Linked DNA regions of Arabidopsis thaliana. Each later gene encodes a partner of the first gene's protein in a complex. Each region holds a gene or a part of one and is shown on either strand. Other genes may lie near its edges.

Region 1 (4,783 bases):
CTCCCAGATACGTGGTTAGGGCTTTGAAGAGAGCGATCATCAGTATGTCCCTCCTCCTTTTAGCATTGGAGCTTCATCTGACGAGGATACATCATCATCAGGAAGCAGGTTCAAGATGAAGCTGAAGGAGTTTCACAAAACGTAAGAATAAGAGAATGGCTTAGTATGTTTTCCTGAGTAAAAAGCGATATTTGCAATTTTTTGGGACTCACTTGACAAAACTTTGCAGCACTACATCATTCACCGCGTTGGACAAAAACTTTCTGACTCCGTTCTTCACAACTAATAGTGGAGATGGAGATGGAGATGGGGAGTAGCATGGAAAAGATGTGTATTTGTGGTCCAGGCCAAGCTATAATTAGAGTACACATATGTCTATGTAAGATTAACACTGGTTGATTTTACCTCTCGCAAAATGCCCACTATAAAGTTGACGATTTCCAAGACATTTCGAAATATTATATAGATGTATTTATTGTGGTACATACAATTACCATGTCAATAATCTATTACAAGAAGAAACTGAGCTCATGTGTGGGGGTGAACATAAGCATGCTCTCACCAAAATACTCAAAAAGAGGAAAGAGATAGTTGTCGACGTCAGTGCCTGCAGCAGCTGAAGTCTTCGGAGCAATTGTTGAGGGACTATTGTGGTGCCGTGCATCTGCATCTGTGTGGGACTGTTGAGGGACTGTTGTGGTTCCGCGCATCTGCATTTGTGTGGAGCTCATTTGTATAATTCCCCCTACTGCTATCTTCTTCAGTGGTGGTTGATGAGTTAAGTTGTCACTGCTTGCTTTGCGTTTACCTTGGCCGAAGAAAAAAATTATTTAAGAACGCGTATCTCCGTGTTTAGAACGCCAAAAGAAAAAAAAAGAATGAGACCAGATTTTATACTTTGCCTGGGGCTGGTGAGCTTTCCATTTGTCTTCCAGACAGAGCTAGTTGGAGGAGACAGCAGTGTCTCAGATGTTTTAAGCCGTTCATATAGGCATCGACCAGCTGCCACCTATGGAAAGTTAAAGTTTATATGCTCTCCTGCCTGTTTTGCAACACGAGATTGAAAGCAAACAAGTTTTCTAATTTCTGTATCAAACTAGAAAGCATACTCACCATCAACGCTCCATAAACAAGCCAAGCCCCATGCCTCTTAGCTTCTTCCTTCTGCTTCTCAAGTCCCATTTCAGGTAAAAGAAGCAGCAAATACGGCCCTAGGTTTGGGAGAACAAGAAAGCGAACCTAGACAAAGGTATAAAGCAAGAAAATACTTACGGACGACCAAAGGATATATATCTTAAGGTTCAATTGCAGGTTTAATAACTTTATCGAGGATGTCGGATCATGCTACTATTAGTTTTAAACTTATGCTTTCTTATGTAAAAATTCTAGACGCACAACCTAAAGTGCTACTCTTCGTTATGATAATCAAGAAGCATCAAGAGGAAGTACCATATTAAGCCCAAGGGCTACCATCCCTTGAATTGCCCCATAGTGTTGTGGGAGTGCCTTGGTTGGGTCCAAAAAGGTATGAAGCAGTGATCTTGTGACACGTGGCAACAAATTGTGATAAACGTGTCCAAACCTGTAAAAAGTTCACTAATGTGATTGCAAGTTATATGGTTGTATAAGATGCATGAAATCACAAAGCAAGAATGTAACATTAACCTTTTGCACGTTGAAGCAACTGTGCTGGCAGTGAAGTTTCTCAAGTCCCAGTGATTATCAGATGACCTTCTTCCTAAGCGCTTGGCAATAAGGCAAGTGATAATAGACGGCATCAACTGATGCAGCTGAACAGAATACAACAAGTTAAAAGTCAACAGAAGGAGGAGAAGGGAGAAGAGAAACAAAAAAAAACAAAAAAAAAGTGTGCGCACAAAACTTACATATGGCTCAATATGTACATGAGGGTTATGAAGGAGGCTTCTAGCAAGACGCATCAAAGCCAACAAGATTGGATAATTATCCATGTTTTTGACAATCTGGAGAAATTGCAAGCACAAAAAAAGTAGTGAAAATGTGGTCAAGTTAGAATAAAAGTCAAGACTAGAAGTGTTGGATTACAAAGACAAACCTCTTCAGCGATGAAAGAAGTGAAAAAGGGAACTAATGGGTGGAGTCCAGGATCAATTTCCAAGCTGGCGAGTGCTTGTCTAAAGAGGGTGGAGCCAGATTGAGTCAAAGCCCACTCCGTGACTTTGTCAAAGTAAATCTGCATCGAGAGCAAGCAAGGATTATATAGCATTCAAAGAGCGAGGTAAAGACCCAAAAAAAGAAGGGAGTAAAATAACCTGAAGGTCCTTAGAAAGCACCTGTCTAGCAGCCAAGCCATCGTCCTTATATTCCGATCGTTTAAGGTCAGATATGGCTACAAATTGTCATGGAAGAGGGATTAGAAGGAGAAGTAGTAGGTGATGCAAAAGAAGACAAAAGAAATACCTTGGAGAGGAGAATTCTGTGGAATGGAAGGTTGAATACCATCAATTGCCAACCAATGAGAAAACAGATGCATCAGGAGGTGCATTTGGTAGAGGAGCTTCGATAACCTGCACAAGAGACCATGAAGGGAAGCTTAATAACAATAAACAACATTTCACCATCTTCTTCATTCATGGCCAATCAATGAAGCTTACATTCTTGAGCTCGACATCTTTGTCATCGAAGAAGTATAGATCTCTGTTCTCAGGAGCTCTCTTGAACCGCATACTTTTGGAGCCAGAGGTAGGCTATACAAAAAAAAGTCAAAATCAGGGTCAACGGTATGAAATAAAAGAAGAAGAGAGGAAGAGGAAACCTCCAAATTCCTGAAATGAAGAGCAGAATCGACATCATGAGCCATTAAAGTGGTGCGTCGAGCATGACGCATGCATTTGATAGCTTCCTGGAGATTGCGACGACAAGTTAAAGAGGAGATTAGAGGGCAAAAGTAAAGTTGAAGTTGATGATATACCTGCATGACCTCTCGGACGCGATACTCGACATCGGGAGCAAGAGCGGCTGAGACGTCCGGAGAAAGAGTGGAGAGTCCAATGCTCTGAGCTATCACTTCAATGGATTCTTTCGTCACCATCCTCCTTGCGCCTTCTTTCTTTTTCGACTTTGAGCGACTGAGTCGAGTCAGTCGTGTTACATTTTCTCACTCTATCAGGCTTTCTCAAATGGGCCCATCGTTAGATTTATTGGGCTTATGATAAATACTCAGCCGGTTTTGAATTTTTAGCTCATCTCGCGTGTTATTTTTAATCAGAACTTCGTTGCACTCGTATCTGTATCAATCTCTCTATTTACTTGCATCTTCAGTCAACGTCAAGTCTGGTAGATTATATACAAAATGGACACCAAACATGTTTCTTATATGTTTCATGACACCCGTTTGCAGATTTACCTGCTGCTTCTGTCTCTTATGTAATCAATCAGGTTTTGATCAGCTTTCACTTGGCACCTCCTTTTGATTCAATCTACCGTACAAAGAATCTTGGGCATCCACGTCCTCTATTCGCCAGTTACGTTCATTGCTCTTCGGGTCTGCCGTTGAGATTTGTAAGATCTTGTTATGGAATTTCGTTAAAGTCCGGCGGTGGCCAATGCTTATATATGTAATGCCAGCCGACTGGATTTGCTGGTACAGGAACGCCTGGGCATCAAGAGGAATTTTAATGGCTCAACGCTACATGTACATGATATTATTCTAAATGATAGATGAGAGGAGAACCAACAAGTACCTCATTAGCTTCATCCAACGCACTGGTGGATTCATCCAGGAGCGCCAGCTTTGGCTGAGACAGCAATAACCGTGCAAAGGCAAGGCGCTGCTGCTCACCAAGTGAGAGAACACTGGACCACTCGTGTATCGAATCAAGACCACCAAAGCGATCCGCTATATGTCCAAGACAAACCTTCTCTAGAGTCCGCATCAGATCATCTGTTGTCGGCTTTTCATTTCCGTCCTCTCTAATCAGCAGAGGTGGTGAACCTAACAAAATCAACGCATTTTTTCTTCAGTCGATTTGCTTTTGGGTTCTATAATCTGCTTGCATAAACTTAAATGGAGTTGAAAGAAATGGTTGTTACTAGACACAAATTTAAACTGAGTACCGTCAATATTACTGCCACCAGGTGTCGTCTCCTCCACAGTTGCACTCCAGGTAGGATAAAGCAATTGCTGACGCAAAGATCCCAGAACCATATAAGGCCTTTGTGGAAGGAACAATACGTCTCCTCTTTTCCCTGAATTTTCCTGAGTATCAGATTTCTCCTGTGTAAAATCTACCTCAGGATCGAGGTAGAACGTGATTTTTCCTTTCCCTGACCTCCAAAGACCAGCCATTGCTCTTAGCAGCGAAGTTTTTCCACTCCCACTAGGACCCATTATCTGTTAAATGGCATTTTTAAGTAACTTCCAATCTACCAGTCACATGCTTTAAACACAAGTAGTCAAAGTGAACTAACCAGTAGGTGATCCTTGTCATATACATCTGCAGATAAGTTGTGAACCAATGTGGTTCCGTTTGTTGGTGTCTGAAGAGTAAGCTCCTCGATCTCCAGACGCTTTTGGTTCGGTTGGGACTTGATTGAACCATTGGTGTCCAGCAGTGAAGAGTTCATCTCACTCTGATATGTCAGCTCAATCTCGTCCACAGTGTCAGATGGATCTCTGAAGATGTTGTTATCCAAAAGATCATCAAATTCACCTGTGTTGGAAGAAGTCTTGATATTGTTAGATGCGTAAAAGGAGAATCCCAACCTACAGCAAATGCAGTTTTTCATTTAGCCGTAGAAGTTG
Region 2 (4,680 bases), 8.4 Mb from region 1:
ACGGAGGAGAAGGTGAAGAAGAGTCGAGATTGAGAAGACCGTAAGTGGTGGAAGTTAGCTTGACGAAATGTTGGCTTAAGGAGGAGCTGGTGAGGTGAGAGAAGCTGCTGTCATCGGTCGGAGTAAGGAGGTTGGAGGAGACGCAACCACCCATCGCCGGAGATTTCGAGGATTAAGCAACGTCGGAGAAAAAATGAATCACGGAGATTGAGTGAAAGAGAGACGGTGAAGTGAGATTAAAGACAAAATAACATAAAACTGCTAATTAGATAAAACTTGTTTATATAAATACAATTTTTCTAAAGTTGGGAAGTGACAATGCACGTGGCTTTGGTGTTCTTTTTAATCCATATTTTTCGTTGAATAAAGAATTCTTTTTTCTTAACAAAATATTTGAGATATTTGTTTTGTTTGATTTTACGTTAATAAAAAAGAGAAAATACAAGGCTTAATTTTAGAACTAGGATTTAGAATCAGGACCACTATTTGGTTGGAGTATAAGGAACAGAAATTGATTTTGATAATTTCGTTAGAAGGAGATAGAGACATTTAACAAGTCAACAAAGTTCATGATGGTTATGGTAAAAATAAAAATAAATTCCTTGTTTAGGTTAAACTAAATAAAGAAAAAATTGCTTGTTGAGGTACATTTGAAAATGTTGAGGTACAATTGTTGAATGGATAATGAATTTTATAAAATCTAATAAGGTAATATTGAATCAATGATTTGGTATGATTATACCATGTTCTTCTTGTATTGGTCGTTGCGATTAAATTTGATGACTAAAAATTAAAGAACGAAATGAGAAATAAATGGCATAATTTATTATAAAATTCGTTGCTGGTTGTTCAAAACTGACAATGGAAGAAAAGCTGGATTATGTTCATTTAGGCCGCTATATTTTTCACGACTCCTACGTTGTTAGATCAATATCTCTATTTTTTCCAACGACACTTCTATTTTTTCAGCGACATCTCCGATCTGTCTATATGGATCATTTTACTTTATTTTTTTTAACGGCTACTGCCGTTTTACTTCGTCATAGTTACCGACGCAGTGGTCCATAAAATAAAAGAACCTATATATTTTCTTAATATCCATTTTTATTCAATCTGGTTTTATTTAATATTAAATTTTTTTATATAATTAAAATCAACATGTTATTGATTTTTATATATGTACAAGGTATGCAATAAAGAGTTTCACATCCGATGTTATTCGATGAAAAAAATAAAACTATCAATTAAACTTGTGTGCCTTAAATTTGGATATTAGAATGTTAGTCGATCGAAAAAATAAAATTAAAGTGATTAAAATATTATTAAAAATTGAAAATTTAAATGTAGAACTATAACAGTTATGTTTTTATAATACTTTTAAAATTCAATTTTCTTTTGCAATTTTGGTAGAAAGATATTTTAAAGAAATATCATAGGTATATATCTATTAAATTCGTAAAATTACCACTGATTAAACAACAACAAAAATTACTTCAGAACCGACTCTATTTCTGCTTAACCACCTCCATACCAAACAACGAAATTGATTTTTCCTGGTTAAGAAATTAGACCCGGACTCAAACTTTATTCGGGTCGGGTTATAAAACTTTTATAAATGCCCTCACAATCTTGTCTTGGTCGCTTCGCAATTTTCTTCTTTTTTTTGTTATTACTTTTTTTTTTCCTCCGATTTGAGAGTTTGCTTACCTCGGAACTTCTCTCCGACATCGTACCGTCTCGTCCGATTGAGCTGGTTTACCTTTCCGGCGAAGCTTACTTGTACCCTCAATTAGGGTTTCAAGAAAGAACCCTCCAATCCAACAATCTCGTATCAGTGAATGGTATCGTATCGTCTTCTTCAATTTTATCCAATGCTTTGATTGCAACTCAGCTTAACTCGAAAATTGATCAATGGGGTTTCGATTTGGTTGTGATTTTAAAGCCAAATTGAGACTCTTTTGATGAAGTTTCAGATAAAGAAGTTAGCTTTTTTTGTTTCCAGGTCCGTTTAGGTTGGCTTGTAATTGTGTAGTTTTTTTTGTTTCTTTTGAAGGTTTTGATTGAGTTTTAATGGTTGGGGATTTGGGAAGGACAATTGCCTTGTCGTCTCCCGATTGTCACCATTGTAGTTAAATCTTTGAATATGGCTGAATCCAATGGCAAGGGTTCCCACAACGAGACTTCCTCAGGTATATATATGTTGCTTTCTTTATCAAAGTTTGTTGCTTTTCTTTTTTCCGGTCCAGTCCATTGTCGACATGATTTCTGAAACTGGAGATGCCCCTGTCTAGCTTATGATTGTTCTACGGTTTTGAATATTTCGGATTAAGTCTCTTTAAGTAGAAAAGGAACAGCCTTGAGTGATTCTGAGTATTGGTTTGTAGGATCTTAATTGACAAAGAGATTGGAAATATTAGGTTGTGGAATTTTGGATTACTACAGTTTGTGAAACTAGAGATGTCCCTGTCTAGCTAGTGTTTGGTGCATTTAGGCTAGCTCATGACCGATTTACGGTTTTGAATATTTTGGATTTCTTTAAGTAGAAAAGGAGCAGTCTTGAGTGATCCTGGACATGTTCTAGGGTATAGTTAAGATTATTTTTTCTAAATTTCTAGAGGGAATTGAGTTTGTAGGATCTTAGATGACGAAGAGAATGGGAATAGTAGTTTCACTAGATGGAGGCTACTGTAGCCTGATAAGATGATGGAGAGGAATCCAATGATTATGTGACCTTGGATTTAGCAGTTTAACAAGAGTGTTAACATGCAATCTTTGTGATTTCTGAATACTCGTGATGATAATCAGTTATCACATGCATTCCCATTTTACACCAATATTTTACATGTCTGCCAAGATTTGTTTGGTGAACACCAATATTTTACATGTCTGCTGCAGATGACGATGATGAATATGAGGACAACAGCAGGGGTTTTAACCTTGGATTCATCTTTGGAAATGTTGATAACTCTGGGGACTTGGACGCTGATTACCTTGATGAGGTAATCTGTTTTACGCTTTCAGTATGATGACCTTGTTGAACACATTATTTTCATTATCGGTCTCAGTTTTTCTGTCTATTCTCTCTGGACTTAGGATATATGTATTTTATTAACTATGAGTTGCAAATTCTCCACCAAGCATACCTGTGCCAATGCTAACATTTAAACTTTTCAGGACGCCAAAGAACATCTTTCTGCATTGGCAGATAAGCTGGGTTCATCTCTACCAGATATAAATGTAACGTTCTACACACTCTTTAATATTTTATCTTCTAAAGTTTATAGACGAGTGAACTGCGAGTCTTTTATGTGGTTTTTAATCCTCTTTTTCTTGTACTGGGATGCCAATAATGGTGTTTCTAAACTCAACAGTTATTGGCAAAATCAGAACGTACAGCAAGTGATCCAGCTGAGCAAGGTGATGTTGTCTGCCAGGGTCGTCTATCTTATGCAGTTTTTATTGTTCATTTAACTTCTAGTTTTCATTCTACCGTTTCTTTAAACCATACTGGAGTAGCTTCTAGGAAACCTGCTAGAAAGTTTTTCTCCCAGTGAATGTTTCCATCACAATGGTCTTGCACTCTTCTTACTTTCGTTGTAGTCATAATCCAATTATTATTGGATTGTTTAAGAAAGTGTCTTGCGTAATTTATATGCATAAACATTTTAACTACTCACGTTTACAATCTTTAAATATGCAACATTCCTGCCCGTAGCATTTACATACTGACACTATTTACACTACCAAATCCTGGTCATCAGCGTCATTGACTGTGGTGATATGTTGTGTAGATTATGATAGAAAAGCTGAGGATGCTGTTGATTATGAGGATATTGATGAAGAGTACGATGGGCCCGAAGTTCAAGTAGTCAGTGAGGAAGATCATCTACTGCCAAAAAAGGAGTATTTTTCGACTGCAGTTGCTTTGGGTAGTTTAAAGTCCAGAGCTTCTGTGTTTGATGATGAAGATTATGACGAGGAAGAAGAACAAGAGGAGGAGCAAGCGCCAGTTGAAAAATCTCTTGAAACTGAAAAGAGGGAACCAGGTTTGCATTTCGAAATTTCCGTTTCTTGAACAAAACAATTATCCCATAGTAAAGTGTACTTTTGTTGTGTTATCTCATCACTCAAATTGGTTTTGTTAAGTCATTCTTCCTGTAATTATACTTGTTGAGCTCAGGCAAATGATTACTTGCAAAGCTGTAGTCTAGTGTGATTTAAGTCCTTGAGAATATAAACTTAACAAGACAAAAAAAATTGCGTTGCAGTTGTCTTAAAGGAAGACAAGGCCTTGGAGTATGAAGAGGAGGCTAGCATCTTGGATAAAGAGGATCATATGGACACCGAAGATGTCCAGGAGGTCAGTTTCCCCTCAAAATAAAGGGAAATTGTGTCTCAAATAACATATTTTTGCTGTGGGATGATTTTGTTATGTTAGTGATCTCATCAAAACATTCAGGAGGAGGTGGATGAGTTATTGGAAGGTACATTGGATGACAAAGGCGCCACCCCACTGCCTACGTTGTATGTGGAAGATGGTATGGTTATCTTACAGTTCTCCGAGATATTTGCTATCCATGAGCCTCCACAGAAACGGGATAGGAGAGAAAATAGATATGTCACTTGTAGAGGTATGTGATCTGGAATGTTCTTCCTCTTTTTGTTTCTTCTCGAACCCTA
Region 3 (6,464 bases), about 11 Mb from region 1:
CCAGTGAGATTGGAAAGAGTATCCGACACGTAACCGGATTTAAGGGTGAACTCACAGCTGGTGGCTACGGCGGTGGAGGCCCGGGATATGGTGGTGGTGGATACGGTCCAGGTGGCGGCGGTGGTGGTGTTGTAATCGGTGGTGGATTTGGTGGAGGTGCCGGGTATGGTTCAGGTGGTGGTTTGGGTTGGGATGGAGGCAACGGAGGTGGTGGTCCAGGATACGGGTCAGGTGGAGGAGGTATTGGTGGTGGAGGAGGTATTGGTGGTGGAGTCATCATTGGCGGTGGTGGTGGAGGATGCGGAGGTTCATGCAGCGGAGGCGGTGGTGGTGGAGGAGGATATGGACACGGCGGAGTCAGCACGAAGGGATCAGGCAAAAACTAGAAAAAACATGCAGCTTGCTTTAGGTAGTGAAAGGAAGAAGAAATAAGGATGTACTTTAGCATCTTGATCATGTTTAGGAGTTTGTAATGGCATTAGTTTTAATGGAATAAGAACCTTTCTACAAAAAAAAATAAAGAATTGGTCCTATGTCTTTTCTTGGTTTCAAACATCCGAGCAGATTCTATTGTATACGCGATACAATAGCGTCGATCTTGACATCTGAGGCTCCTTTTCCACCACAGCGATCACATCCTTCACAGAGATTGACCGGACTACTTTTGGTAAACCTTGGTTCTTCCCAAATTGTGTACCACCTACATAAAGTTCGAATATGCAATTAGGAGCACGAAACACAAGAATAACCAGCAACAGAACTGAGAGATTTACTCTTTCAGATCATAGAAACGGGATTACCAATCTTACCAGAAAGTTTCTTGGAGTTTCTTCCTGGCCCTGGAGAAGATCTCTGACGTGCTTCAGCCATAAGTTTCCATTTTGAAAACCTATCATCTCCTCCAACGGCTGCACGAACAGCAACATTTGCAGCCTTGGCTCTCTCTTTATCTTCGTCCTTCTTATTTGCCTGACTTGTGATCAATAAACCTCTTTCAGTGTACGTATGTGTATATCTCCAAAGGTTTAGGTAGTTGGCTCAAGTTCTAAATACCTTCACTTCGTTTGAACGTTGGTCTTCTTTTTCAGTATCATTTTCTTTGTTCTACATCAATGAATATACAAAAAAAAAAAACTAGACATTACTACTGATAACTAAGACAAATAGATATTAAGCTCAGGACAAACCATTACCTTTTCTTCTCCAGAATGTTTCTTTTCCCATTCCTCTTTCACCTTCTGATTCATTTCATTAATTTCTTTCCGGATATCAGATGTGATAAAAGTCCGATTTCTACACTTCTCTGCATCAGTCCGCTGCAAAAGCTCTTGTAACTTCAGAAAGATTTAGGTACAACAAGATCTAAGGAGGCATGAGAAGAGAAAGTAGACTGACCTGCTTTGATATTCGTATTATATTAAACAGTAGTCCTCGCATCCTCTCCTCCACACACTGAATGCGCAAAGCCATGAGAAAAACGAAAACAAAAACAGGAAATTGAAGGCTAATAATTCCAAGAAAAGGTGTTAACATCTCACCAGAGACAAGCACCGCTCTACATCATGGTCTATATGCTTTAAACCACTTTTTCCCACTGTCATATATGAAAGCATACATAAACTTCTTCTCCAAGTGATTCCAAGTAAGGACCAAAGAAGCAGCTAAGATACGAGTTGAAACACAAACTAATTTCTGTCAGCTTTCTCTGCAGTGGAATTTTCTGCAAAAGCGTTCTTTCTTCCTCTCCATGCACAAGTCTTCGATATGCTTTAGAAACACGATCGTTCTTTTTAGGACCAGAATCTAATAATTGTTTTTCCTCTTCCTAGAACAGATGCAGAAAGTAATTTGGTTTATTGTTTCTCTATATCCAGGTTCAAAATGAGAAGTGTAGCAACTCGTAAACATACCCTGAGATTGATGCCACTGACTGCAGTGACATCATTAAACTTTTCAATACTTTCATCTGAAGAAGTCCCACATATTTTTTGCTTCTTTCTGTATATTAAAAAATACATAAGACTTCAATTTAGCAATTCTAAATTGTTAGTAAGGTAAAAAGGATATTATCAGAAAAGCAAAGAAAAAAGGAAGAGTAATTTATGGACGCTGTAAGTAGTTCATCTTTCACAAACCAGCCAGCTCATTACCTTGATGGTGGCAGCGAAGAACCTAGTGCCTCAAGAGGTTTCTTCTGACCAACAGAAGGCATTTTGGGTGTCACCGTAACATTAGCAATCTTGGGAATGGTCTCAGATGGGGCAGGCATATTAACCTGAAGTGTACACAAATAATTTTCACGTAAGATAGATAGTCCATTTACTCTTCACAACCAAAGTTCGAAGCCAGTACAAGGAGAAATAGAAGCCAGGGTGGTCCAAAATATAAGCAAAACGAAACCAAATGCAACATCGGTTGAAGAGAAATGGTCCCCCTATGAGCTTAAAGAGAAGATCAACCAAATTGAAATCTGTCTTTTGAAAGTATAATTTATAAGTTACCATCGTGCTAGAGTCCAGCTGTGTTGTCATTGAAGGAAAAACAGAGCTGGCAGAAGTGGTTGATGTGAATAAACCCATTTTAGAAGACTGCTTCTCCAAGTCATCATTTGAACTAATTGGAATAGCATTCTTCTGTTTCAGTGGAACATTAGTCACGCCTTGCTGCACCAAATAACGAGGTTTATGTGCCTGTTCAAAACTTTGATCAATCAATTTATGCTCCACATGGATCACTGATGAAGAAGGTCCCACTGTATGGTCCTTGGTGACTGATCCTTGCCAAGGAGCAGAATATAGAGGAAAGGATGAGTTCTTTGGGAAGTCGGATATAGGACCATCCTGAACCCTACTTGGACCATTTACAAAAGTTGGCCTCTCAAACTTGGGTACTGTCGTCATGTTTATTGTAGACTTGGTTGGTCCTCCAACACTGGCTATTCCCACATTCTGATTGTTTTCCCTATGCTGGAAATCAGGGAGCTTTGCTCTCGATGATGAACCAGGAGAAGTGACATTTGTCCCTGGGTATGGATTAAGACTTCCAGATTTGGTATCCATATGAAAAGAACTTGATGGAAGCTGCATGTGTTGCTCGGGATGCTTATTTAATCCCTGCACAGTAGTTGAACTGTTTAAGGTGCCTGAAGTTGTAGAAGACAGTTGGTTAACATGAACTTCACGAGGATCAGATTCTTGAGCAGTGAATTCTGCAGTTAATGATTGTATCTGGGATTAGTTTTGTATGCTACAAGGAAATCATAAGATAAGATCTACCAGAAAGTTAAGATGATCTATGATAATTGCAAAAGTAAATGGCATCAACTAAATAAGTTATACCAGCAGATTTAGACACTTTGTCATGGTTTGAGCGTCCAGGTACTTTGATCCCCATATTTCCCTGGTTACACATACAGTTCATTCTGAAACCAGTAAGCCACAATTCCAAGACAAGAAGTATTCAGCTTATACTATTAAAGTGAGAATTCTTTATGTTATTTCCTTTTTAATAAGGTTCAGAAGTGAGATTTCTTTCTCAGCACATGTTCATATACAGAGAAGGAAGCATATAAAACAAGAAACTCTCTTGGAGGCTGCTAAATGAAAATCATTAAAGTACTTATAAATGCTAAGAAAATGGAAAGGGTAATACCGGTTTTAACTGAGGCAGTTGGCTAATTACCGATCTGATTATCTGATCACCTACAAGATCTCTCAGTTGTCGCATGAACTCTTCCATTGTAAGTTCTTTTCTCTGCAATCAAGTATGAAAAGAAACGTAATGTATTAAGAAACTTCGATCAGAGTGCCAATTCATTCATGGATGTAAACTGTAAAGCCACACCTTGAGTTTATAATGCAGGTTAAGACAATGCGTCTTTTTGCCGGGTTGGTGGTCTACCACGGTACGAAGCAAATCAGTAACTCGTGCTAATCTAAGATTATGATTCACAGGGTCAACAGTCTTTTCCACCCAAGGAGTCTCTTTGCTACTCATCTTCTGCAGTTTCATATACCGAGGTTGCGGTTTTTCTGATTCATTACCAGTAGTATTGTTTATAGACTTCAAGTTACTTCCTTGGGGCACATGAGTTCAAGCACCAAAATCAATTATGAGTATGCTCTAATATTTTTCTATGACTAACCGTCACTAAAGCATCATCAAGAACTAACAATCTAATTGCATCCATCAACATTCAACAGTTAACATCAAGTGAAACATGAAGATACATGACAAACCACAAAAATACGACTCGTGAACCTAAATCACTAAAGAAATCTAAAGGCATTTCCCTGTTTTGATACATTCCACAGTTTCGCATATGAATTTTAGGGTCCAAAACGAACCTTCAATATCTCGAATCAGAGAGTCCTGAAACATTTGCAAGTCATCTTCCGAATGCTTAGAGTCAACCTAACGACACGATTAGCGGGAATCGACATTTAGGAGCTTCGTCCACAGAACAAGATAGCGCGTGGATTTTCGCAGACAGTACGGAAATGAAAATGAGAGTGGGAAATTCGAAACCTAACCTCTTCGTCTTCTTCGAGGAGCTTGACAATGGAGAGATCCATGGAGGAATCTCGCGGTACCAAACGTCAATAGCTCAAAACGAAGAGGGAATTTTCAAGGAAACGATTTGTTGTATCCAATAAGATTCCAAATTCCGCAAGTTTTTATATAAAGGGAGATTCTGCGAGAACACCGTGTCGTTTTTTCTTTTTGATAAAACACTGCGCGCCGTTCTGTTGATCTTCTTTTCGGTAGTTGTTTCTTTTGGATAAAACACTGCGCGCCGTTCTGTTCTTCTTTTCGGTAACTGGGCTTGTTCTTGTATATCAAAATTTATTTTTCTTGAATATAATGTTGGAGTTCTTAAACAGTTATTCATATTAGCATCAGACTTTTGCAAAAAAAAATTAATTAACTTTTAGATGAATTTTGATACACGTTTATGACCATTGAGTTTTGGACTTCCCGTAGATAATTCACCAAATTAAAGAAGGGATTATCTACGTTAATTAAACAGTGCTACTAAAGAAAACAAACGACCCGTCAAGAAAGGCTTTTTTCAATTGAAAGTTACGGTATTCTTTTGGTAAAAGAAAAATGAAAGTTGAGTTTTCTTTGGCAGTCTTCCGTAAGATATCACAACTCTTTTTATTTGCTTAGAGCTTTCCAAAATATAAGAAAGAACAATATGTGGATGGTAGTAGAAACTAGAACGTTCTTGATTATGCTTAATTGTGTTATAAATTTTTTGAAAAAAACAGAACCAAAAACAGAGTTGTAGTGGTGTCACTTTATGCTTATTCAGATAAAAAAAAGACTCAACGCGTTTGTAAAATATGTGGTAAAGAATCGGTTTAATAATTTTTAAAATGAAAGAACAAGAAGAATTGGAATCAGTCAAAGTCCAATTTGGTATGTACAGTCAACAAATTCCTACACAACTCTCAACAGTATACAAACGAAATCTTATCGTCTAAGTAAATTTCCTTAAAGTTGAAGTTTGACCGGAAAGTCAAACCGAGGCTTCTTCGCCGGCATAGGGCTCATGACTTCGTCGTCTCCGTTGACCATCGAGAATTCAGGGATCGGAGGGATGTTGAGGTCAAACCCACGGTGGCTACTGCTAACGTGGCTAGTGGACCCCGCACCTTCGGAGTTGGACACGCTACTAGTGTTGATGTTGTTGTTTCCTTCGTAGTGGCACCGCTTGTGTCCGCCGAGAGCTTGACCGGAAGGAAAAGACTTGTTACAGATGGTGCAAACGTGTGATTTCCCACTTCCAGTAGTCACGGCGGATGTGGTTGTCGCCGACGAGGTTGAATGATCATCTCCTCCGCCGGAGAGAGTCTGTGATAAGTTCTTACGGTGGCTTGCCTTGTGACCACCGAGAGCTTGGTAAGAAGAGAACGTCTTGTCGCAGACGCTACACTTGTAGCTCAACTTCTCCACCGCCGGAGGAGGAGGAGGCTGACGGTTGTCGCGAGCGAGAAGCATGAGGCAAAAAGCTAGATACTCTTCCTCAGTGAGGTTTTGGTGGTGGAAATCGGATCTTGATCTCTTAGATCGCTTACCCTTTGTCCAGTGCTCGACTCCATGGAAGACTGAAGAATCTTCGAACAAAGGAGGAATCGGAGAAGCTAATCTTGGTGATGTAAGAGCCTCGAGCGCCATTAAGTTAAAGATTCTGAGGATTTCTTGTCTCTCGAGTTTTAGTTTGAAGGTTGCTTGTGAATTGCAGTGAAGAAATTGTTTAATTGCTGAAGAAGAAGTAATGAAAGTGTGTGTAAATATATAGTAGTAGGTGGAGTGTGGAGAAGGAAGTTGCGTGACAAGTGGTAGGAAAGTGTGAAGAGTGAAGGTGGCGATTAGATAATTACTATATTTTTCTAAAACTCTTTTTAATATGCGGACCAAAGTTGTGATGAAAGTATCTAGATGTTTTTTTGGGGGTA
Region 4 (4,751 bases), on another chromosome or scaffold:
TTGAAGCCACTCTTATAGCCGACTAACCGTACCTACAAATTTTCTGTTTCAAACTTATGCATATCTATATGGGTGCTTATGATACTTCCTATTAAATTTAATAAAATTAGTAAAAATTTCCCTACCATATATCATATTATTATTTTTTCGATCCAAGAAAGTTACTTTTTAAAATAGTTTTCTATTTTGTGACACTTCTAAAATATTATAAGTGTATAGCCATTTTTCCCCAAACAAGGAATAGTCTATCAGTCTATACAGTATACACACGATTTATTTGCAAAGAACCTACATACACAATTTCTCTTCTACCATGTTAGATTTTTAGTACTTGTTTTACTAGATTATGTATTTTTGTTTGTCTATCGGTCTTTTAATTTTCACTTGCTGGAGGTAAATAATGAAGGAAGTAGTTAAAAATTGAGATAACATAGTTGTGTAGAAATTAGAATACAGTGCAGAACTTAAAAGTATGGTTACGATCACATTGACAACAGTCGATATTCCATTGAGATCACATGAACATTGCTTCGTTAGAAATGCTCGTCGATCGCCTGAAGTAAACCGATTTGATTGGCCACCATGTTTTGCCTCTTCCTGATTTCATTGATATATTTTATTTTTCTTTACTATTTTAAACAACAAAAAAATTTAGAATCCGTATTCCAAAAGTAAATTAAATTTTTGCATACAATTTTTCTTTTTCTTTAAAATATCTAGGTTTTAATATAATATTCCATAATTTGATGAAAAGAATTAAAGAGAAAGTTCAAATCAATCCATATAGCTTGTCCTAGCCTATAGCCAAAAATATTCCTATGCCGCGATTGAACAACCGTTTTTTAAAAATCGTCAAATTAAATCAAACCTTTTTCCATGACAATGAGACTTGGATATAGTTTACATTAGATTCTGATTGGCCCCTTTGATATAACTAGGTAAACTAGCTTCTTGAATAAACTGTCTCTTATTTTGGTTTTATACAAAAAAAAAAAAGCTTTTGGAAAATGATTTAAATGTAAATACATAATACGTAGCGTCTAAGAAGCATATTTGAGAAAATATGGATTTATTTATCTGGTATTTATCCATTAATTTACCTACAAATGGAATCCACCATTAACCAAAAACAAACAAACAAATGGAATCCCGTGAAATAAAGTATCATCATATACATATCTCTCTTTTATGTTTTTATGGAGAGAATTAGTCCAATCCTTCTTCACTGAATTTACCACCTGCTTCTCGTAGAATATATAAAACTACCCTTAAGTCTTTTTCTAATGACTATGAGTTGACAAATGAGAAAAACAAAAACTGCTTTTGTTGGTCATTAAATATTCCGTCTAGATGGAGTTAGTGCTTTCATTGTCATATTCTTTGTCTCCCATCAAATTAAAGCTCACTATACAGCAGATTGTACAACACTATACACTAAAGTTACATTTTTGAGATTTTATTGATTGACAATTTCGTTTCGATATTCTTAGATACACTAAACTCAAATATTGATTTTATGGGAAGAGAATAAAAAATGGATTGTGAAAAAGGAAAAAAAAAAACCTAAATTTGGGCCATATGTGAAGAATACTTCCTTAAGTTTGGGCCATAGTTTAAATCAATAGGCCCATTAGTCTATCTAACGATTCTTTCTCAACTCTTAAAAATCTGACCGGCGGAGATGGCTCTGAGTTGGACCAGTCGGAGGATTAGGGTTTCAACGGAGACTCACTAGTCGATCTCCGATCCTTTCTTCTACCCGCCCGAAATCCGTCGAAACTTCTCTTCTTTACCATTGATTTGCCTCGTCTCAGCTCAATTCTCTTCCGTTGCTGCTTCGTTTAGGTTCGCATTATCGCTTACTTTATTGAATTTTTCCTCTATGTCTCTGGTTTCAATTTCAGCTCAATTTTGTCTTTTTTTCGGTTGAATTTTCTCTTGGGTGGTATCGAATTTTGCTCATGAATGCTGTTTCTTGATGAATCAGAGCCCTCTTAGTTTACTTCACGTCGTTCAATTCAAAACTTGGTGTGGTCTTTTGCAACACAAATCAGGAATAGTTCGTTACTTAGAAACAATAATGTCATACGAGAAGACAAATCTGGAACAGAGAATTAGTAAATTGAGCTGGAAAGTTTCAGTAGTCAAAATTCTCGTAAAACTTATTTTGGTATAATTGTGTCATGAGTCATGACATTCTTTCTTAGGTTTCGTACAAGTTTCTAATTTGAGGTAGATACTAGTTCAGAGGTTCTTTATTAATGTTTGATTTTGAAAACCTTTCTTTACTTACAGTTGTTGCTTCGCTTCAGTACTCTGGTGGTGGGAGAGATGAATCACGGCCAACAATCTGGTGAGGCAAAGCATGAAGATGATGCTGCTCTTACAGAGTTCCTTGCTTCTCTGATGGATTATACTCCTACTGTATACTTTCCTTTGTACTAGTTACAACTTTTTCTCGGCTCTACATGACTGAAATTTGGGTATTGATTGAGTTCTGGATTTTTATTTTTCTTTCAGATTCCTGATGATTTAGTGGAGCACTACTTGGCTAAGAGTGGATTTCAGTGCCCCGACGTACGATTGTAGGTATTTCCGACAAGTTATATCTGATACTTACAATGAAAGAGCAGATAAGTTGATATTGAATGGAATCATTGTTGGGTCTTAGAATGGGTGACCAGTAGTTAGATCAATGGCTTGGTTTAAATCATTTTGGATTAAGGTTTTGCCCTGTTTAACATTCCTGTAAAATGGTATGATAAAGAAGTCTATGTTGGACTAGCACTGAAAAAGATTGGCAATTTGAATGTAAACTTCAGAGTTCAGTTTGAATGCGTAGAATAATGAGGGGATTCTTCTCTTTCTATCAAATTGAGTGCTGAATATTGGTATATTTTAGTTTTTGAGTTTTTCACTCCTGTCATAATCTTTTCCTGTATCTATTCTTGCCAATATTCTGTTTTTTTGTTTACTTGTTTGACAGGATAAGGCTAGTTGCTGTGGCTACACAAAAGTTTGTTGCAGATGTTGCCAGTGACGCCCTTCAGTAAGTTTTCATTCTCTTCACAACGAATTATCATACCCTTTTTCATATTTGACTTGTAATTGAGAAAGAGAAGACACTGCCCATTCTGAGTAGATGAGATGAAAAGATGTCTACGCTAGATTTTCCCAGAAGCTAAAAGCATTGATATAAGCTCCTGAATAATAAAAATTGTCAATTATATACAGGCATTGCAAGGCTAGACCAGCACCAGTTGTGAAAGACAAAAAACAGCAAAAGGTAACATCTGACTCCCTTTTGTTTTTTTTCCCTCTGCAAGACTGCAACAAATATGTTTTGGATGATGACATGAATATTAATGTTTCCTTAACAGGATAAGCGTTTGGTATTGACAATGGAAGATCTTTCAAAAGCTTTGCGTGAGGTAAATGCTTCTTCCTCTAAGTTCATGCTTCTGGTATTGTTGTCCCTCAGACCTCCAATGTATGAGAAGAAAATGTAGATGTCTCTTGTTTTTTTTTACTTAAGCTGCAAATTACTCTAAATACACATGGCATGAAACTAATTCAGTATCACAGAATCAACATAAAATGCTTAGAAACATGTTTTAGAGTTAGTGGTTATAATATTGTGTATTGCAGTAGTGTAGGTAGATAGGTAAGGTTTTACAGTCTCGTCTTAACTAGTAGTGGGAAGCTAACTCGTGAGTAAACTCGGTTTGGCAGTATGGTGTGAACGTGAAGCATCCAGAATATTTTGCTGATAGCCCTTCGACTGGAATGGACCCTGCAACAAGGGACGAATAGAAACCAGGAATTCCTCAAAATCTTTGCCTAGTAAGGACGGTCATGTGTCTCAGATCCCTGATTCTCTGTTGTGTTTCAGTTAAAAACAAAACTCACTTGTCTTGCTAGTCCTCAATTACTACATTACATGTATATTCGTTTGTTGTTTGTTCTCTGGTGATTTTTGGGGTTCTACATCACTTATCCACCATTCTTGCAAGTCTCCAAGTCGTGAAAATAAGATAAGTATCCATCCTTGTGATTAACTGGATACTGTAGGATTGAAAAACCACAAAGTATATTTTCCATCTAGCAATGATGAACCTAAGTGCTTCTGATCTAACTTGAAACATTGCCACACTCTGTTGTATACCTTTAGACAATCCCCCTTTGTAACCGCGGCATCTCAATAATAAAGTTACTTTTTGGAATTTAGCAATTGAAAAAAGCTGTTCTGTTTTGTTTTTTCACTTTCTCATGTCCGAATATTCTTTACCTAGAAATACATGAAAGAAGACAACAATCTGAAAAATCTAGTAACCTTTCGTCAGCTTTTACAACGCTACATTGAAGACAAGAACACATTGGTTTTTTCATCACAAAGAAAGTTGAAGATTCTTGAGTTTTTTTCCTCCTGAATTGTTTGAAATGGTGAATCCTCCACTTCAGTCTCCGACCAATCCGCATTTCTTCCAGCCACTACTTCCCGGTTTCGAGTGTCACCTCGTACACACTCTCTCTGTCTCTCTCTGTTTCTGTCTTTCTTTCAGAGTCGGTTTTGTTTTAAATGTTTTGAGGCTGAAAAGTTAAGGTAAGTTTCAAGTTTTTTATATGACATAGGTACTTGTGGTTTCTGAGCACATTCTCCTTATATGTATACAGGACCATAAACGTTGTCTGGAATGATTCTATATGCCGACTTTTTGTCTGTAATATGTAAAGTCTCTGTCCAATTTCTT

What was found.
Region 2: TAF6B (region 1) and HAF01 share a complex: the UniProt entries of both Arabidopsis thaliana proteins name them as parts of the TFIID complex.
Region 3: TAF6B (region 1) and TAF4B share a complex: the UniProt entries of both Arabidopsis thaliana proteins name them as parts of the TFIID complex.
Region 4: TAF6B (region 1) and TAFII15 share a complex: the UniProt entries of both Arabidopsis thaliana proteins name them as parts of the TFIID complex.

What each region holds. Positions count from the first base shown.
Region 1 is NC_003070.9:20,288,887-20,293,669, reverse strand, and holds TAF6B (TBP-ASSOCIATED FACTOR 6B), read right to left. Parts: upstream 3,071-4,783; coding exon 2,951-3,070; coding exon of another isoform or gene 2,882-2,950; coding exon 2,634-2,881; intron 2,547-2,633; coding exon 2,440-2,546; intron 2,369-2,439; coding exon 2,292-2,368; intron 2,213-2,291; coding exon 2,075-2,212; intron 1,983-2,074; coding exon 1,887-1,982; intron 1,791-1,886; coding exon 1,666-1,790; intron 1,583-1,665; coding exon 1,450-1,582; intron 1,240-1,449; coding exon 1,114-1,239; intron 1,010-1,113; coding exon 898-1,009; intron 809-897; coding exon 510-808; downstream 1-509. Other genes in the region: NHX5 (sodium hydrogen exchanger 5), read left to right, coding at 20-141, 230-317; ABCD2 (ABC transporter family protein), read right to left, coding at 3,425-3,634, 3,723-3,973, 4,096-4,372, 4,450-4,691. UniProt on the Arabidopsis thaliana protein: TAFs are components of the transcription factor IID (TFIID) complex that is essential for mediating regulation of RNA polymerase transcription. Not redundant with TAF6.
Region 2 is NC_003070.9:11,853,725-11,858,404, reverse strand, and holds the start of HAF01 (HAC13 protein (HAC13)), read left to right. Parts: upstream 1-1,639; 5' UTR 1,640-1,841; intron 1,842-2,053; 5' UTR 2,054-2,143; coding exon 2,144-2,189; intron 2,190-2,895; coding exon 2,896-2,999; intron 3,000-3,174; coding exon 3,175-3,237; intron 3,238-3,371; coding exon 3,372-3,417; intron 3,418-3,791; coding exon 3,792-4,046; intron 4,047-4,268; coding exon 4,269-4,360; intron 4,361-4,459; coding exon 4,460-4,631; intron 4,632-4,680. Other genes in the region: AT1G32760 (Glutaredoxin family protein), read right to left, coding at 1-154. UniProt on the Arabidopsis thaliana protein: TAFs are components of the transcription factor IID (TFIID) complex that is essential for mediating regulation of RNA polymerase transcription. Core scaffold of the TFIID complex.
Region 3 is NC_003070.9:9,642,803-9,649,266, forward strand, and holds TAF4B (TBP-associated factor 4B), read right to left. Parts: upstream 4,575-6,464; coding exon 4,533-4,574; intron 4,523-4,532; exon of another isoform or gene 4,414-4,522; coding exon 4,347-4,413; exon of another isoform or gene 4,077-4,346; coding exon 3,844-4,076; intron 3,754-3,843; coding exon 3,652-3,753; intron 3,400-3,651; coding exon 3,339-3,399; intron 3,209-3,338; coding exon 2,502-3,208; intron 2,276-2,501; coding exon 2,151-2,275; intron 1,999-2,150; coding exon 1,911-1,998; intron 1,826-1,910; coding exon 1,687-1,825; intron 1,595-1,686; coding exon 1,539-1,594; intron 1,453-1,538; coding exon 1,396-1,452; intron 1,317-1,395; coding exon 1,194-1,316; intron 1,105-1,193; coding exon 1,054-1,104; coding exon of another isoform or gene 1,039-1,053; exon of another isoform or gene 970-1,038; coding exon 810-969; intron 701-809; coding exon 549-700; downstream 1-548. Other genes in the region: AT1G27710 (Glycine-rich protein family), read left to right, coding at 1-386; STZ (salt tolerance zinc finger), read right to left, coding at 5,500-6,183. UniProt on the Arabidopsis thaliana protein: TAFs are components of the transcription factor IID (TFIID) complex that is essential for mediating regulation of RNA polymerase transcription.
Region 4 is NC_003075.7:15,353,285-15,358,035, reverse strand, and holds TAFII15 (TBP-associated factor II 15), read left to right. Parts: upstream 1-1,604; 5' UTR 1,605-1,845; intron 1,846-1,865; exon of another isoform or gene 1,866-2,232; intron 2,233-2,295; exon of another isoform or gene 2,296-2,312; 5' UTR 2,313-2,331; coding exon 2,332-2,424; intron 2,425-2,520; coding exon 2,521-2,585; intron 2,586-2,986; coding exon 2,987-3,049; intron 3,050-3,234; coding exon 3,235-3,286; intron 3,287-3,380; coding exon 3,381-3,431; intron 3,432-3,732; coding exon 3,733-3,813; 3' UTR 3,814-3,989; coding exon of another isoform or gene 3,990-4,065; 3' UTR 4,066-4,116; coding exon of another isoform or gene 4,117-4,197; 3' UTR 4,198-4,240; downstream 4,241-4,751. Other genes in the region: AT4G31715 (uncharacterized protein), read right to left, coding at 3,990-4,065, 4,117-4,197, 4,334-4,377. UniProt on the Arabidopsis thaliana protein: TAFs are components of the transcription factor IID (TFIID) complex that is essential for mediating regulation of RNA polymerase transcription.